Linked DNA regions of Astyanax mexicanus. Each later gene encodes a partner of the first gene's protein in a complex. Links are inferred from orthologs where the notes say so. Each region holds a gene or a part of one and is shown in the gene's direction. Other genes may lie near its edges.

Region 1 (10,468 bases):
AGCCACCAGTCTTATCCACAAAGGGCCAGTGTGGCTGTAAGCTCTTGTTCCAGCTAAGCGGCAAAAACACATGATCAATTGGTTTGAAGATAAATATCTACTGATTAAACAAATGGAATCAGGTGTGTGCCAGTTTGATTAGATGTTAAACCTGTGGCCATATGCCAGTCCTTTGCAGTTAAAAGAGAAATACAGTATAAAATGTACTTGGGTTGTAGAAAAACATGACGAGTACAAACTTTTGTCAAAAATCCCACCTCTGTTCACCCCCAGCATTCTGAAATACAGAGCTTTTAGATGATGCTCCCAACAGTTTTACAATGCTAGAGATAGGGGCGTAGAGTTACCTATGCTAAGAAATCACTATTTTAGACCATTAAAGCTGGAAATGCATTTATTTTAGCTGCCGTTGAACAATTCTCTATAATATTCATATATTTTCACCAATTTAAGGTTGCAATCTGTTCTTCTACTTGTTTGTGCTCATCAGCTGTGATTTTAAGATGGCGGCATCCAGAGAACTACTGTGATACTGTGGGTACACACGGCCAGGCACGTCTTGTCAGACAGGAGCAAACATGGCAGTTCGTTCCTGTGTTTTTTGTGCAAATATGCTATATATATGCTTTGCCTATTCATTCAGAGCTAAGGAACAAATGGCAAAAGACTGTCTTTATTTTAAAATGTTTCTAACTGTTGTTCGTCTGCCTGCCTCACAGTGCTATTAGCCAATCAGAGGTAATATGTTTGCATCATGTTTTCCCTCCACTCCTCCACTGGACTAAAGCAGCGTTATAATGGATCACTGGAGCACTTTTTTCACAAAAAAACAGTTATTAGAATTAGACATTTTAAAATTAACAAAAAAACAATGGAATGAGACCTTTAAAACATAATTCGATTAATCAAATTAATTTGATTAACCTCTCAGCCTTATTCCAAATCATTCTTGAGCATTTCTATTTGTCTGGATTCACATTACACCAAAGGGTGAAAAAATAGTAATTTTTAATGTTTAATATTCACATTAAAACCATTAGATTTATTGGATATACTAATAGAGCATGGCTCATGCTGGCCTATTTTTTTGTGTTAATTTTATGTTGCGATGAACAAAATGCTTCAAGCCTCACGAGTGCATGTGGCATGAGCATCCATGTGTGTGCATCACTGCGTTACATGATGCCAGCATATGAGTCTGCAAGTGTTTGTGTTTAGGAATAGCACTGTATATCAGTCTGTAACTGCTCAACACATACTTTCTGTCTTCTCTGACACAGACAAGCAATTCCACAGCTAATTTAATGACTGCCCCAAATAAACAAATGCACCTAGCATGACTCTCATGTGCTGAAATGTTACTATCTCTCTCATCGACACCACCACAATCACGTGGGTCATTCTAGAATTGCATGTCCAAAAAACATTTTTCCAATTAGTTTCTAATAATAATACTAGTTTTATACATTTTTCAGCATTAATACTGCTTGGTGTATGATTTTTTTCTGCCCCAGTGTTCTGGTCAACTCTCTCTGTTATCTTTAATAGAAGTTGGTTAAATTGTACAAACAGTTATAAATCCATAATATAAAACATGTGACTTGCACCCACTTATGACACTGAAGCTTCTATCTGGAAATGTAAAAGGCAGAGAGATGTCAAACTTTCAGTGTCATTTTTGAATAAACTGTTGAGGATAAACCAACAGTATATAATTTATTGGTCAAATTTGAGTAATTCTTCCATTTGTAATCTAGTTTATGAGGTAACACACTGAGTTACGGAACAAAACGCTGGAAAGTGTCAAAACGTGTTCATTTTTTAATGGTTTAGATGGTTTAATGATAACTGACTAATATGTCAAAGCTTTTCATACACGAAATGCACCCACAATTTTAAAATGGGCCACAAACACAAGTTCTCAGACCCTGGCCTCAACCTCATATAAGTTAATGGATTGAACCTTATCTAAAGGATGAAGGACACAGAAAGAACTGGGATTACAGCAAGAGGTGGTGGAGATTAAGTAACCGAGGAAGGAAGTAGAGTTTTGTGGCCACATCAAGCTAACACTTATTTCGAGTCAGAACATGAAATCATACATTGGTGGCTTTGGCCTACACACAAAGTCTTAAGGTATTAAAGACATTTTAAAAGATTTGTAACACCACCTTAATGTTTTTTTAAATCAGCACTGCTAATACTAATCCTAATCTCACTTTAAAACCAACCTAAATCTTAAACCTAACACTGCAGCCAATCTAAATAAACTGTTCTTGAGCAAAACAAGGGCTCTGCCTGAATTGCGTACAACCATTAATACAAAAATGTGTATTATATATAATAAAAGTAATAGTACAGGTTTAACAGGTAAATACACAAAATATTAACATTCACTCATCCTGATTCATACTCATATCAAGAGGATGTGATGAAGCAATGCTTTTCATTTACACATAATTCTCTTGCCACTGTAGCTGCCCAACATTTTTTCCCAAATTATACCTCCTCCCTTTTCGTTTCCACTGCATTAGGAAATAACAGTTTCCATTTAAACCATTTTATTCTCAAAAACTGAGTGGACCCATTTATGCATCATGGATTTCTGACAACACTCAATTTAAACTAAACAAACCTAATCAAAAGCAATTGGGACACCCAATGTAAATGTGACAGAGAATAAAGAGATACAGCAGAAATGAAGGTCAAATGGGGGTTAAATGGAGGTTAAGGCTGGAAAGAAAAGCCACATCACACGTCTTCCTACTGCCTAAAGAGTGCACTGTATAGCAAGGGTTTCAAGGGCCTTGTGCAGCACTTCGCTGAATACGCAATAGGTTTTCTCCATCCTAAGACTGGCAAACGTTTGTTTGTTTAGTTTCTGTGTCATTGTATTATTTACTATTAAGCATTAGTGATGCTTATTTTTTTTTAGTTTTGTATCATGTCAACCCCAGTTTTGTATTTGGATCTTATGTGGAAATCGAGATAAGTGATTAAACTAGCTTATAGGGTGTAATCTAGTGTGGGTGACATTTTTGGACTGCTTGACACAATTCAAATTTGTTCTCAAATAGTTATTTAATTAAAGAATGAATCAATAGAACAGAGTCAGGCAATGTGACAAGAAACACATTTATGTGGACAGTGAAAGAAAGAAGTATACAGAGAGAGACGTACAGAGAGAGAGACAAACTGATAGAGAAATAAACAGAGAGAGAGAGAGACATACACACAAAGAGAGAGGCATACAGACACATACAGAGAGAGAGACATACAGACAGACATACAGAGAGAGACATACAGACAGACATACAGAGAGAGAGAGACCTACAGACAGATATACAGAGAGAGAGAGACATACAGTACTTAAAGAGAGAGAGACATACAGAGAGACAGACATGCACAACCGACAGAGAGTGTCTCCAGGGTGAAACCCAAGGAAATTTAATTTTCATTACAGCCACGACCCGCCCCCTTCAGGGCACACATACACACCCCCTCTAACTCAGACTCTCACGGGCAGCACGCTGTTAAAGAACACGCGCCTATCCCACAGCTCCGCTTTACGCTCAAACACATTTCGCCCAAGACTGGAGCTTTACATGTTTAAATGTGGTTAGAATGTGGTTATAAACACGGTCCACGGTGGTTTGTAAGCGTGCGTGCGCGCGCACGCTCTGTCCCCGGTGTGGCGTACGTGCCTTCTTTCTCGCCGCGCTGAACGTCACACTGTGACCAGGACAACAGCAGCGCGCGCGCACAGCCTGCCCTCAGATTAATAACACTACACAGCGCTGCAGGTCAGTGCAGCTTTTCATTAAAACCACACACAGCTACATGTCTCCTGTGCAGAAACGCACTGCTTGCTCCTGCTCCTGCTCCTGCCCGACCCCCCTTTACCCACTACTTCCCTGGACATCAGCCACCAGGAAGGACGGGCAGTAAAGTGAGTTTTATTCTCACGAGCACCAATAACAGGATTCAGATTCTCACGCGACAGCGTGCGCGCGCGTCTTTCCGCGTGCACAGAACAGCAGACACGCTAATGCTCGTGAAAAAAAAAAAAACATAAATATATAAAAGAGACACAAGCTCACCCTGCGGCGGCGTCCTCGCCTGCGACGCTCTCGCATCTGCGCGAATCAATCACCAAACAGCACGACCTGACCGCGGAGGAGGAGCCCGACCAATCAGAGAGCGACTAGCCTCTGACGATCCACGTACGTGCAATGTGATTGGTTTACGCGGAGGGTCTTAAGCCATCTGATTGGCGGAGCATCGTGTCAATTAGGCGCTGACTGCTCGTGAGGAACGTGAGACTGTTTTTAATGCTGAACGATTTTATCCCCCGGCAGAGAAAAGGGCAGCACAGTTATTTTTACAGCACGCTGTAGCGGTCAGAGCAGAATATAGTGGTGACTACGACGTGAATAGATGTGAGGACATCACAGAAAATACACACACATGAACACAGAATGTACAATGTACAGTCTTAGTTCAGTGTCAAACATTTATTTTTATTTTATAAAATATACACATATTGGCAGTGTGGACAGTGTGCCAAGTCCTGCTGGAAAATGAAATCCGCATCTCCATAAAAGCTGTCAGTAGAGGGAATCATGAAGTGCTCTAAGACTTTGGGCTTGATATAACACGGTGAACCAACACCAGCAGATGATACGGCTCTGATTGTGGAAACTTCACACTTAGACCTCAAGCAATTTGGACCGTGATCCTCTCCACTCTTCCTCCAGGATCTGGTCCCTTGATTTCCAAATAAAATGCAAAATTTACTGATGGTCAGTGATGGTTTGGAGAGCCATGTCATCTGCTGGTGTTGGTCTACTGTGTTATATCAAGTCCAAAGTGTCCAACTGTAGAGTGATTTTCTAAACCAGACCACACACATTTCAATGCATGCATGTCTTTACGTGTTGTACAAAACACTAATAAACCTTCAACTGATCTATCCAGCCTGTCAGACACCATACACAAGCCATGTCCGTGTTAAATGATTACTACTGGTGGAATATGAGATGATTTTACTCAGTTCTGCAAATAAACGCGGACATTGTGTTACAGTCCCTGTCAGGGATTAGACCAGAGTTCCCCATCACAAGTCGGGCACGTGCACTGCAGAGGGTAGTGTTTTTACCCTAGCTCTGTGAGCATAGACTGTATATAAGATATGTATCCTGAGTCAGAATATATATTGATAACCTGTCAGCGCAAAACTGTAAAAAAACAGTACAATGGCTGAATTTTTTTCTTTTTTTTTTGTAAAAAAAAAATACATGTTTACATTGAAATTATTGAAGACCATTATCTATTATTATTATTGTACTCCTTTTCCTTAAGCAGCATATATTTGTAAGGTAAGTAAGAGTGTGGAGATTGCATAACTATACTATCCGAGATGCTGCGCTTGGTTGACTGATTGACTGATGAACTGATGAATTGATTGATGGATTGATGATTTATGAAGGTCACCCTCCCCCCATAACATTTCTAATGAATTGGATGCCATTTCCTGCATTCTGGTGTATTTTTAACAGGTTGTTAAACAACAAATTTTATCTACAAAAGAGGCGTAATTCAATTACTCTTTTAGAGTCAGACAGAAAAAAATATCATCTTTTAGGAAACTGATTCGAACGGCTTGAAAAAAGATTCAAACCTTTAAAAAAAACTGATTCAAACTGCTTGGAAAAGATTTTAACCTTTTAAAAAAACTGATTCAAACTGCTTGAAAAAAGATCCAAACCTTTTAGATAATTGATTCAAACTGCTTGGGAAAAAATGTGAACTTTTTAGAAAAATAATTTAAACTTCTTGAAAAAGATTCGAACCTTTTAGAAACCGATTCAAACTGCTTAAAAAATATTTTTACATTTTAGAAAACTAATTCGAACGGCTTAAAAAAGTTTTAAAACTATTCGAAAACTGATTCGAACTACTTAAAAAAGTTTAGAATATTTTAGAAAACTGATTCAAACTGCTTTAGAAAAAGTTTTGAATCTTTTGGAAAACTGATCCGAACTACTTTTTGAAAAAGTTTCGAACCTTTTAGAAAACTATTTGAACTATTATTTTAATCTACTTAAATAATTCGAACTATATGTATATAGTTCGATGCATTTGTGGATCAGCATGACAACAATACGTTTATACGTGTGATCGTAAAAGTACTTTTATTTTATAAGATGGTTTTTGTAACAGGGCAGCTTCCTGGGTTTGAGCCAATCACTGTCCGCGACCCCCTTCACGCAAATTTGCCGGGAAACGGAGATCGCGGCATGTATACGAGCAGAGAGAACAGTGGAGCGCGTGAATGTCAAAAAAGTGGCGGGAGATTCAGGCTGGGTCCGAGAGAGACAACACAGTATTGATCTGAAAAGTACGGGCTTCTATTTAACCTGCTAACCCTGTTTACTTACACGTCGGGTTGTTTAGCTACAGGTCTGCTAGTTAGTTAGCGTGCTAGCTGTGTGCAAACCGGTTTTGGTACAGTGTTAGTGTTAACACTGCTTTGCTAACTGACTTTTCTGTTTATATGGTGAAGCTAGTTGTTGCTGCTGCTGTTGTCTAGGTTGGAATTTGACTGTTCTGGCAGATCTTTTATAGTTTGGATATTAACTAGATTAGCTTAGCTATGAAGCTTAACTACGTGATGTACTCTAAAACGGTGTTGTATTGTTCTGTCTGTTTTTTAGTAGTTTTCTGCGGGTCAAGGAAACTTAGTAGTTAGTTAGCTAGCTAGCTTTAGCTCATGTTTGTTTGGCTCTAGCTAGCTTACCAACTTACCTATTTAATATATGGTTGATAACCTTGTACTTAGCTAGTTACTGTAACGTTAAAGTTGCTCCTCTGTTTGCGTCTTTCTGTTGTTTATTTTCCTGGATGTTTTACGTGCTATGTTGGGTAACAACACAACAATGGGGTGATAGATATTATTGCTTTCTCTTTGTATTAGCTAGTGACACTTCTGCTGTCTGACAAGCCACGTTAAGCACATGAACAGGGACTAAACTGCTCTTGCTTCAGCGTCTCTCTCTCTCTGGAAACACAGTTTCTTTTATAACTAATTTCATAAATTATAAATATAATTTACTCGCAGTAAAAGCTAATAATGCTGAGAATGAAAAATAGCGTAGGTTAGCTGGGTTATCAAACCGCTTTGGTAGATTTTTTTTTTTTTTTTTTTTAGAATAGACCAGTTTCCTTTGCCCAAGCCTAATTAGTACTTTTTGAAGCTATCCTCTAGATGCAAAACTTGGCAAAGTTTGGGCGCTATTAAATATTTTTTGTTTTTTAAATTTATTTCCCCCTTTTTGATTTGAGGTGTCTTCATATTTAAAAAAAATATTTCGGTTTTGGATTTCGTCTGTGTTCTTTACATCACAGAAACCACAGGACACCAAACATTGTATAAATATTAAAAGTAATTAAGGTGGTTGACAATAAAAAACACATCATATAAGTAGAGCTGGACTACATGTCGATATGTTATTGTATTGTGATAAATAGGTTTTTTTTATTGAAAATATGCCAAGGATATAGTTACTCCCTAAAGAAGCCTGACCCAACTGTACATTTTATTACAGAGAGTGTTGAAACTCCTATTAAATTGAATCATGTGCAGCAGATATTATATATAAATAACTTGACTGTTAATGAAAGAGTATTTAAATACTGTTTAGTACATTTTTTATAGAATCTGCCACAATAAATACATTGTTTTATAAGATATCTTTTAATACTGTTGTATAACATTTTCCATATTGCCTAATTCTCTCAGTACATGATTATGTACAGCAAGAGTGGTGGGTTTTATACTGTGCATATTAATATTGCAGTTATATCGTATTGACTGAAATTAAGACATGTTGTGATATAAATGTTCTCCATATCGTCCAATCCTACATATAGTTATACAAGTTATTTTTGCGTTTAAACATCCCCATATTAAAAGAAATATACGAATAAAAGTTTAATTTAGTTCAGTGACTTTGATTTAGTGTTTGAAATGATTTGTGCACTTTTACTTTTGCCCACCCACAACTGGGATATTCCACCGTCCATTAATGCATTGATCTTTGTTTAATTAGTACATTAACAGTGTTGACCCTTATATGTATGTGTGTTTACTGTAGGTGCTGAGGATGGATGGGAAAAAGCGCAATGGTGGGCCTACACTGGGTGGAGCCTCCCAGACTAAGAAAGGCCGAGTGGGTACAGATTGGGACGATGGACCTTCCCATTTTGAGGAGGAGCTTGCTTTATTTGATGAAATGGAGATGGATGCAGAGTCAGGGGAGGGACAGGCGGGTCATGATGTAATTCCAGTGGGTAAGTGGTACTGCCAGAGTTGGTCCCAAATTTGTATTGTTTCACAAAGCAGGATTTCTCAGTTATTTAATAACATGGGCCCAATCCCCTTTCTCATCTGTACCCCTACCCCTTGTTTTCGAGTGTCATCTTTCTATTTGAACTGAGTTACAAAAGGAAGTGGATGAAGTTCTCACTCTACAAAATGATTCAGCCCTGTTTGATTAAAGAAATGTACATTGCTTCATTATTAGGATATTAGGGATGCTCTGTAGACGACCCTGCAATTGGGTTCAGATTGATGAGTTATTTATTATTGTCCGTCCCTATTTTCTCTGTTATAGGAAGATAAAGTTACCTATTCACTAACTACTTATTTAAATTTTCCCAAACCACCTTAAATGCCAAAGTCCCAGTAAATGCTCCTCCACTATTGTAGGTGGAACAGGATTTTTTTTTGTTATCTTGCTTGTTATGAAGAAAAGGCCCATAATTTATTAAAAAATATAAGGTAAGATGCAATGGTTTTTATAATTTTTAACAAATATAAAGGTTTATTTGTGGGTTTCTTCAGTTCCTTTAGGTAAGAATGTACAAAACGGAAGGGTAGGACTAAGTGGTTGGGACAAGAGGTGAATTGGGATGTGCCAAAAAGTGCCAAAAATAGGACTGCCCATAGGAATGTATAACAACTCTTCTCTTATTGGACAGGCAATTCAGGTCCTGCTTTATATATATATATATATATAACCTCATCTTGTTTTGTGTTTGAGAAATGGTATTTTATGTTGGCTAATTATGTTAAACAATTTATTTTTTATTTTGCATTTTTTTCTTTTTTCTTTTTTGGCTCAGGTGACTTGTTCTCGGCTGATCTAAACCCTCGCTGGCGGCGTCCCACAGCTCCTACTATCAAACCTGACAAAGACACCCTCATCTTTCAGCAAATAGATTTGGACTATTACCTGGGTAAAGTATTCTCAACCCTAGTGAGAAAGCAGCTACCGGTTTCATGTATTTTTCTTTTATATTCTGATGTTGAAATACATCCATGCATGCATGTGTGTAGGTTCTGCAGTGGCTGGGATGCCAGGACAGGTCCAGGGGAAAGTTCCAGTGGTCCGTATGTTTGGAGTGACCGATAATGGGAACAGTGTTTGCTGTCATGTGCACGGCTTTGCGCCTTACTTTTATGTTCCTGCTCCCGCTGGTGAGTAAAAACAACCAACACTACATACGTTATCATTAATAATCATGCTTTATTATCGTATCTATACTGATTAAGATTAGAGATGACATGCTGTGTGTTTCTGGTTGCTTTGTTTTTACAATGAGAGCTAAATATGAAAATATGGGACCATAGAACGCAGATTGCCTTCCCATACTGATTAAATATGAATAATTCATGCTAATTTTCTTTCTTTTAGGTTTTACTGCTGCTCACCTGTCTGAGTTTCAGAAAGAGCTGAACTCTGCTGTGTTGAAGGACATGCGTTCCAACAAAGACAACATATCTGTCACTGTGCTGGCAGTGGACATGACCCGCAAAGAGAGTATGTTACATCTTTGTGTGATTTAAGGTTGTGTGAATGTACATGTTTAGTTTGTTATAAATTGCCTTTTTTGTTCTTATTTGAGATATGTATGGTTACCATGGAAGCCGTCCTTTGGACTTCCTGCGGATTACCATGGCAATGCCTCGTCTGGTTGCCCCGGCGAAGCGCCTGTTGGAGCAGGGCTTTAAGTTTGCGAACTTCTCCACACAGAGTTACTCTCCCTATGAGGCCAATATTGACTTTGAGATCAGGTATGTAAATATGGATGGTTTTCGCCTGAATCAGTAGATTTTAATAGATGGTGTAGGTTGTGATTTTTAAAGACACAAAAGAAATTAAACTATGCATCTGTAAATTCCTTGCTAAGAACTACATGTGGCTTGTAGTTATTTGTAAAGTGAAACCTAAGAGCTCCATCTTCGGCCAACAGTCTTTATAAACAGCTTATGCCTGCACCATTTCAATAGCAACAGAGCTTATGAATATATCTATGCTAATGGCTGTGGTGATTTTGAAATGAGGTGTGTTCAGGTAAATTCTGACGTATTGTTATCTTTGCAACGGAAAACACAGGTTTCAAC
Region 2 (9,710 bases), on another chromosome or scaffold:
GAGCAAGATGAGGAAGTGATAACGGGTCTGACCCTGTTTAATTGGAGGATCCAGACTGATCTAAATACAGGAAGAGAGATAAGAAAATAGAATATAACAAGATGGACATACAACTAAACAAGAGCAGGAAAAAATACCATTGCATTGACAAACAATCTACATATAAGCTTGATAAATATAATACTACTAGTGTGCTAAAATAAATGTTTAGCCCATAATCCTACATTTTACTTTTACTATTTTTACTGAGGCCTTCTTATGTGAATATTTGTATTTAAATTAGGGGTGGGCAAAATGGCGCTAAAATAATATCACAATATTCTAGGGTATTTTTGTAATTTTTGTGAACAATGAATTAAAAAATAATAATAATCTCAAGAATACATTTTTCACTAGATTGTAACGAAAGTGAATAATCTAACAGGTCATGATACTAATAATGCAGTCCATATATCCACTGAACTGAAGTAAAATAAATGATTCTGGATGGAAATAATCTGTCTAATTTATATTTAATGGTCAATGAGAACAGTGTGAATTTTTTTTTTCAACAAACAGCAAAAAAACCCAAATGGCCCATATGGCCCCTAATTAATACTTCAGGGTATTTCTGCAATCACAATATTACAAAAAATGTTGGTTATATTATTGTGTACGATACAAAATGGCACAACCCTAATTTAAATGTTTAAAAACAGTCACATTTAATGCTTTCATGAAGGTTTCTGGATGTTTCTAGTAATATCTTTGTCGTACCACAGCCCAGTCTTGCCTCTTAGTGTGTCAAACTGGTGTATTTGTGAATCTGTCATGTGTTATTATAGGATCAGCCAATTATGTTTTGTGTAAAGTGAAACTGGTGAGTGGACATTAAAAAGCCCTTACTTAATTCTATAACTGAGGAATGACTTAAAATGTAGAATTCCAATAAAACTTAATTCTTCTGCGAGGAAAAGATTCTAGCACTGGGACACAATGGAAATCTCAGATCCCAATGTAAGTTAGGAACAATCTCAAAGTGAGTTTATTTTAAATACTCCTGTTCTTAAAAAGCGATATATATATATATATATATATATATATATATATATATATATATATATATATATATGCTTTATGTATTATACATTACTACATTATTAACACTTTTTAAAGATATGGGACCTTTGAAGACCTTACTGTTAAATGTTTGAAGGCCTCAAGATTCTTTCTCAATTTTTAAAGTAATTTCAATTGTTCTTGACTTAAATATAAAATATAAATCTTATGACTTAAATGACTTAAATATAAAATATTCATCAGAAAGGCAGAACCATCACTCACCACAAAGAACATCTGTCTCTGGTCTTTGTGAGGGAGCAGGAAGAGCCGCAGTACCGTGGTGTAAGGAATCTTGTAGTCAAATGTTTTACCATGCAGATGCAGGAAGGTGGGGTAGATACGGATGTCATACCTGTCAAAGGAAAGAAGCAACATGACAAATACCACTAAAACTGAGTAATGCTTTATTTTAATGAAATAATACAACATGGAATGCATTATATTCTCTTCATTTAAATATGATCATCATTAAAATATATAGGCCAATATAAATTCTTGCTTATAAAATGAGTTGTAATCAGATCTATTAACCTGAAAGTATTAAGCTGCTACTTTGGAGATACACGGTTTTGCAGATAGCAGCAATATAACAATAGAATTAAACAGAATTTCTTTTTTGCAGTCATGTTGACAGTATGACCAAGAGACATGATGCCTTGTGTGTGTTTGTGTGTGTGTGTGTTTGTACCTGCCCCTGGGAGTGAGACACTGCAGCTCTCTGAAGATGCATACAGCATCTCCTGTGGCCTGGATCACGTCTGCCTTAGAAAGAACATTCTGAGCAAACGCCTGTAAGAGAATCACATTAAACCGTTTAGTCTATTTGCTTAAGAGTGTTATAGAATTAGGATCCTCATAACTGCCTGTAATTGATCTTAGTGGAAGAGGTGTTTAAAATGAAACCTGTACTTTATGCTTTAAAAAAAGACAGTCCAGACTGAGAGAGGCGCTACCTCTGATTTCATTCACATTCTCATTTAGACTTTCTTTGGATCAAAACTGCCCAAAGTGCAGCTCTTAGAACATTTGATGTGACCCTAACCACTCCCTTCAGCTGGATCACAAAGAAATACTATGTTCTATATTTTAATATTTCTTGTAGTTTTTTGGTATATGATAATAATGATAATAATAAGTATATTTTGTCTCTTTTTTGTCCTCAGCCCAATGTAGATCTTGTTTATTTGAAAAGGGCTCCTCTTAGTGGTCACAGTAAAACAATGCATACAAAAGATCTCATCATCCAGTTTGTGCATTTATATGCAAAAATAAGCCTAACTCTGATCTTAACTAATATCAATTAATCATGATTTTTCAGGTCATAATGCCTAGCACAAACATCATCAAACTTATTCTCAGATTTTTTGTACAGAGAAAACACACTCACACACACACACACACACATACACAAACACACACAGGCTCTCTCTCACCTCCACAGGGTCTGCTCCCTCATCTGCTGTGGTGGGCGGGACATAAAACCGCACTTCCATGAGGGACACCTCTGTGTCATCATTCTGATGAAATTCGAGTGTGACCTCATTTTTTCCAGTTGCACACTGAGAAACGCTGGAGAGTGGAATCTCAAACACAGGGCTGTCACTCACCTCAAATGACAGCAGTGGGCCTAGAATTACATTCAGAGGACAATTATTTTTTAGTAATGCTGCTGAGTAGGCCTGTCACAATAGCATTTTTATGTGTATGATATATATCGTCCAGAAATGATTGCAATAAATGATATTATTTTATTATTTTATATTTAAATGCCACTGACATAATGACTACAGAATGGATAAACAAATTATTAACAAATGGCTTAACAAAATATATTATAGGGAATAAAATATTTTTTCCCTTCACCTACTGAAGTTCACACTGTGTGTTTGGAGAGCATTGGTCATTACATGAAAAGCATTGATCATTACATGACTGGCTAAAATACTGTTCACTGTTATATATGTGAACAAACCAAGAATTAAACACAATTTTATTTCAAGTTAATAATGTAATTATCGTGACAGACCTACTGCTGAGTACTGTATTTATTAGAAAAACTGTACCCTCTTTATCTCTGCAATTACTGTGATCATATTCTATAAGCTGACTGTAAAATATCTATATTTCATAAAATGTTTTAAATCTCCCCACCTTATCTTCAACACACACACACACACACACATGGTGTTGCACCATGCTCCTGGAGGAATATTATTTCGCTCCACTGTGTAGAATTTTATGGTTGAAATGACGAGTAAAGCCTCTAGACTAGACTTAAATTCACGCAAGCCACTTAACTAATAGCTTTCCTCACAGAGCACTGTACCATGACTTACAATCCCTCACATTAAACCAAACTAATTTAGACATAAAAAACTTTATGTTATGAACTTATACTAACCATTGAATTTAGCAGTTCCCCAGTTCCAGCCTTTCACACACATGTCTTTCTCAGCCAGCTCCACTTTATAATTGGCTTTAAAATACTCTGAGATTTTTTCCAAGTCCTTGAAAGAAACAAAATAAAGAATAAACATGTTTAATTAAAATAAATATTGTTTTGAATTTTATTCACACAAAATAAACAGCCATTACACCCACCGTGTCCTTAAAGCCGTCATATTTATAGACGTGTCCAGTGCTGGTGCAGAGCTTGATGCCGTGTCCCAGGCAGACTCTCCTCCACTGGGCCTGAGTGAGCTCTGGGACAGGGATACTGTCCACCTTCCCCGTCTTACTGTTTTTATAAACCACTGTCTGCTTACTGAACCGTAGACGCCCATCGTTCTGCAAAAATACAGGAACTTGTGCTAATCTTCTGCATTATTTGTTGGCACATGTGAATGATACATATGTATTTTTATAAAAGCATGTTGCATTTTTATGCTAACAACATCTTACTTGAAGCAGGCTAAGATGTGGAGACAACGTCTTCAAAACATGGTGACAATTTAATTTATCTTCATGGCTACAATAATTTCTGCAATGTTTTTTTTAAATATATTTTTCAATAGGATAAGTGTAAAACACATTATGCATAGCTTAAGCCTGTTGATATATAGTGCATGGTTTTGTATTTACATTCAAATGGGAATTCCACAGGTTTTTTTTTTACTTTTTTCACAAACAAATTAAGAAATATTTGTGTTTTCAAGAACTGTTCATATATGATACGTTTTGCTTGCAACATTGTTTTTGTTTTGGACAAAACGCTAAATATTTTTAAAGAGAGATTCATGCGAAGACAGACAAATGAGAAAACAGTTCTGATGTACTACTTTTTACTACTATTATCAGAATTACATATAAGTAGTCAGAAGATGGATTATGTAGAATAGCAAATAAATTACTATATTTACACTGACCCTTGATTACTGTAAAAAATGTGTGTCAGCAAGTTTTATACAGTCCATCATTTCACGTCAAAACACTCTGAATGACTTTGTGTATTAATTAATTGATTACACTCAATAATAAAACAGTGGGTTTTTATTAAAAACAATCTCTACACATTACTTTTATTTTTTTATTATTTTTACATATATAGAAAACAGACATTCAATTTATCACATACTGTAAAGTGCTCTACTTGAAGATACTCACCCAAGAACCCTTAACTTCCTGATAAATATCATTAAACTCCAGATTGTCAGCCATGCCAGCAGTTTCCTCCCTTGTCCCAGCAATACAAATCTGTGAAAGAAAAAAAAACAGTAAGAGAAATCAATACACATACAAATCTGTTCTCCCTTTATCACAAATATTTTCTCACTGCACTTTTCTGTGTTGCCGCATTTGGGGATGGTAAAATCCTGGAAATTATGTTTAAAACATATGCATATATGCTTCTTCATATCCAGAATCAATGGATTAAAACTGCTCAAATCTTATGCTGTGTCAGAACAGGTGCTTTGACAGGCTGGTATTGATATATATTATCTATATGAGCTGATTTTGCTCTCTGAAGCCTGAAGGGGGGGTGAAGGTACAGGTGAAACATATCTTATGGGGAATGTGCAGAAGTTCAGTTCTGCTTCTTCTCTATTCTGAGCTCCCCTTAAATAAAGTGATGGAGTTCAGCAGCACCTTTTTGTTCTCTAAATGATGCTAAATGAAGATGCTGATGGAGAAACAGAACAGCTGCCATGCAGAACACCTGGTTAGACAGACAGCTAACTAACAAACTCACTGTCTGACTGTTTTGCTATGAATCTATTAGCTAACATTTTAAGCAGCAAATCTGACAATTTTATTTTAAACAGTTTTAAACAGTGCCACGGCCCAGCCAGCGAGCTAAACACACGCAGACATATTCGCTAATAGCTGGATAGCTAGCTGTGAGCTGCTGCTCCTGAAATAGACTGCAGCTTAGCATTCCTCCAACAAGCAAAGGACTCGTTTTTATCTGATATCCGCACACAGCGTCTCACTACAGGGTCACACACTCCTGAGTCACAGCGAGGGCTGAACCGCGCAGCTGCTGTTAAATAGCATTTACTGTTTATTGGAGAATTCTGGAACTGAGAGGAAACCGCTAGCGATGTCCAACTCGTGAATGAACGATTCTTTTGAATCGAGTCATTTAAAAAAACAAGTAAATCCGAGCCATTTACTTTTTTGTAGCTTTGTTTTGATAAATAAATAAAAAATATGTTTTTTTATATTTCCTTATATTTGACTGATAGTCTTAAACACTTGAAATAAAAATAGATACTTCCATATATTTATGTAGTAATTATTATGTCGTTATTATTATTAACTGTGTAGTAGTATATCAGAATAAAAAAGGAGATACTCTATAAATTATTTATATAAAATGTCATAATTTATGTATTAATGTAGTATTTTAGTGTCTAACTCTAAGGTCTAAATAATTTATTATTATTATTATTATTATTATTATTGTTATTATTATTATTATTATTATTATTAGTAGTAGTAGTAGTAGTAGTAGTAGTAGTAGTAAAAAACTAATAGAATAACAGAATCAACTCAATATTATAAAAAAAATTGTAGATACCCACCGTATAGACTTATGATATAAAATCTCATAATTAACCAATTCACTTAGTAAATTAAAGATGTCATAATAATAATAATAATAATAATAATAATAATAATAATAATAATAATAATAATAATAATGATAATAATAATAATAATAATAATAATAATATAACATGACAGAAATTTAAGGAGAGGTAAAGGGTTTTTAATGTTGTTTTTGTTGTCATTTTTATTGTTATGATTTAACGTGAGACTATGAATCGTTTGAATAATTTGGTTCAAATGAATCGGTTCAATGCTGAAACGAACGAGGCAGTAGAGCAACATGAGTGCGTACGTCATACGTACGAAATAAGCCCCCCACAAACGTCATCACGCAGTGTGCTTGGCCACGCCCCTACCCTTGTTTTGTAAACGTTCGGGTAGGAAATCTTATCGTTGACTGAGGATCCGCGGTGTTTACAGTGGTTACAGTGTTCACTGGATACACAGAGCTGCAGGTGAGTGCTGTAGCTTCAGAACTGTAAAACATTTATGAACACGAGAGCTACAGATACTGTTTATAAATATGTGAACACGGTCTGAGTTTAAGACACAGGAAACAATACCTGAGACTGGGCACAGCTCAGCTCAGTATTATGTACACGTAGACAGTGTTTTTTAACTTTAACTGGGATAAAATTCTGATATTTGGGGGTATCAGATCATATTGGACAGAGTTTTTGGCCAAATGGGAAAATGAAAGTACATGGGACATGCATGTGATAGGTCCTAAATGTGTGGTTCTTGATGGGTGTTGTCGGACACCATTGATTCCCTTCCCCCAGGCATGACAGCCAAACGAGGTCTCATCACTGACACATTTAAAGTAGTGAAGAAGGCGAGGAAAGATGACAAAAGAAACAAGAGACCTCCTTCACCACCTGCTGCAGGTGAGACTGTGTGATAGTGTGCAGCTTAAGTTAGAATCATGTTGTTTTTATATAGTTTGGTATCAAAACTATGTTGATGAATGGAAAGATTTGCAATTGTTATTCTGTTGTTATGTTATTACCATTTGATGATCTCTCAGATCCAGAACCTCCTCGCCCCAGTAAAAGAGAAATTGATCTGCAGGAACTGAGAAAGTTTGACCTGGACTGGCGTTTTGGGCCATGCACAGGTAATACAAAAGAGTCAGAAGTGTTTATAATTCTCTAATTACACTGACAAATCCTTAGTGCTCAGGAAGTTAATATTATTATGGGTACAAAGAAATGCCCCTTTCAAACTAAAAAAATGGCTGCTGGAAAACACTGGGTATTTGGGGGGAAATTTTAATCTAGGATGCACCCTGCTGTACAATTGTAGTGTTTCCCTTGCTTATACACATTTAACAAATGTCAGAGATTTTTTTCTATTCAAACTTTTGCACATATTGCTTCAGATGTGGCCAAAATAAGAAGCATGAGTAAAATCTCAAAAGGAATCTAGTTTCAGTCTTGCAAATGATGACTAATGATGCAGCCTTTGCATATGAGAGTGTATGAGAGTGTAGTTAAAGCATGTGTTGGAATAAGGAAAAGCGAAAAATATACAGAGGAGGGTGCCTCCAGAACCACTGCTAAATTATTAAATGTGGATAAACATATGCACATTGTAAATAAAGTATTGATTATTTTTTTCTTCTTAACAAATTTCACAGAAGGATAGAAGTCATTTGGAATTTTGGTATGTACCTATGTACTTCCTCTCTTGCATGTGTGAATGTGTATGTAGGGATCAGCCGATTACAAAGATGGGAGAGGGCAGCACTGCATGGGCTGGACCCCCCACATGAGATTAAAGATATACTGCTGACGGAGAGCGTGGACCCAGAGTACACACATAGGTACTATGAGCATGAATATATTTAGCAAAAATAATAATATTACACATACATGGAGGTCTGTAAGTGCATATGTAATTGTTTGTTCTGTCCTGTATTTCAGCCTCTGGCGGGATTACCCATTGTAAAGAAAGATGCCTGAAGAGAAAAAAGAAGATTGTGAGAGTGGATGATTGTTGATTGTTTATGATCATGATTGATCCAACATGTGAGCTTGCCATGTTTTACACTACGTTTATAGTAAAACCCTTTTAACAAAAGCATCCCTTTGTCATCAACTTTTAAGGTATTTTCTTTCTTAAACTGGACTGTCTGTCTTGAAGTGAGCTACATTATCAAACTCAGCAGGTAAGCAAAACAGGCTAACACACAATGCCTTGATTGCAACTGGCAGGTTGTATAGTTTATTCTACGATTGGGAATGAAGTGTCAAAGAAATGAAAAGGATAGACTATTGTGTACAAAATCTGTTAATTTAGGATGCATCTGTTGGTGATTGTATCACAGTGCTTGTATCAGCTTTAATAATGGAAGTAGCAGCATATTGAAAATAATCTCACTAGGCCCAAAGCCAGTCATCAGCAATTTAAGTTATAAAGCTCCAGCATTGGTCTGTGGAGTTTTGGCGCTGCAGACTTTGGAATATGTTAGAATGTGTTGTTTTTGTTTAATATAACCCTAATTGAACATGAACAGGCTTTAAATAATATGGTGTACAAATTAGAGCAAAGAAAATGACTAATTAAACACTAATTAAAAATAAGAAAACCCATAGTGAGATAATATGATAAGGTCCATCCATTCTTTAAATTTTCTAAATGAAGTACACAGAGTACAAGCACACACCTTATAGGTGAATATTAGCTTGTTTCGTGACATAAAGCATTTTCTGTAGGTTTGGTAGTGCTTTGAGAATACATGACACATGAAAATGCACCAGCCACAATTTCTAGAGATAAGGCTTACATAAGCTAAGGTCATGAAATTAACTGCTGGATTGATTTACTTGTGCTAACGAATTAATACTAATGGCCTGAGAAGTATAGGAATATACAGTACTAAGGAATATACAGTACAGTCACACAAAGGCACACAATATTGACAGAAAGCTCAGCTGTTAAGACAGCTTAACAGTTGTGAAGTTAAACCCAGGTTTTTATTTTAATATTTTTATTTGGCAAATTATCTACCATCCTGTGAAGTATCTGCTTTATCACACAGAGCAAGTCTCACTAATGCTGATTTTTAGATCAGAAACACAGGTAGTTCAATAACCCTGTGATTCTCCACTGAGCAGTAGAGAGGAGAACAGTGACTATTGTTGCTGCTCTATTGTTAGCTTCTAAGTCGTTTGTATGATGAGCCGTGAGTTGAAGGTTATTTTACTGCTTTCTTTTATGGGGTGTTGTATGGATGTATGTAAAAATCTGGGGCTCAGACCAATTATTTTAGGTGACTTCTAGTATACCCTGTATAATGTTTGTCTATTTTTTCTTTTTTTTAATTAATTAAATTGACAAATTAATGAATGATTATTTAAATAATTATTGGTATTTATTTTTTTTTATTTCTTTTGTATTTTAACTAAAGTTGTAGGTATTTTCATAGTCACTTTTATGCCAACAGAATCAATATGTTGGTTTTATACATCAGACTACATTACCACAGCAGGTAAATGTGGGAGTTCTGTTGATATTATTGTACTATATGCTGATATGCTCATTCATTAGGTCTG

What was found. The genes of interacting proteins can lie anywhere in the genome.
Region 2: pold1 (region 1) and DNA polymerase delta subunit 4-like share a complex: the UniProt entries of both Homo sapiens proteins name them as parts of the tetrameric DNA polymerase delta complex. The link is inferred for Astyanax mexicanus from reciprocal best matches to the Homo sapiens genes POLD1 and POLD4.

What each region holds. Positions count from the first base shown.
Region 1 is NC_064426.1:26,989,239-26,999,706, forward strand, and holds the start of pold1 (DNA polymerase delta catalytic subunit), read left to right. Parts: upstream 1-6,239; 5' UTR 6,240-6,400; intron 6,401-8,156; 5' UTR 8,157-8,165; coding exon 8,166-8,352; intron 8,353-9,186; coding exon 9,187-9,300; intron 9,301-9,400; coding exon 9,401-9,541; intron 9,542-9,758; coding exon 9,759-9,884; intron 9,885-9,969; coding exon 9,970-10,138; intron 10,139-10,468. UniProt on the Homo sapiens protein: As the catalytic component of the trimeric (Pol-delta3 complex) and tetrameric DNA polymerase delta complexes (Pol-delta4 complex), plays a crucial role in high fidelity genome replication, including in lagging strand synthesis, and repair.
Region 2 is NC_064414.1:44,550,306-44,560,015, reverse strand, and holds DNA polymerase delta subunit 4-like, read left to right. Parts: upstream 1-6,473; 5' UTR 6,474-6,608; intron 6,609-6,935; 5' UTR 6,936-6,937; coding exon 6,938-7,040; intron 7,041-7,180; coding exon 7,181-7,270; intron 7,271-7,866; coding exon 7,867-7,978; intron 7,979-8,078; coding exon 8,079-8,103; 3' UTR 8,104-8,175; downstream 8,176-9,710. Other genes in the region: ssrp1b (FACT complex subunit SSRP1), read right to left, coding at 1-60, 1,324-1,453, 1,790-1,890, 2,535-2,728, 3,503-3,608, 3,703-3,888, 4,705-4,758. UniProt on the Homo sapiens protein: As a component of the tetrameric DNA polymerase delta complex (Pol-delta4), plays a role in high fidelity genome replication and repair.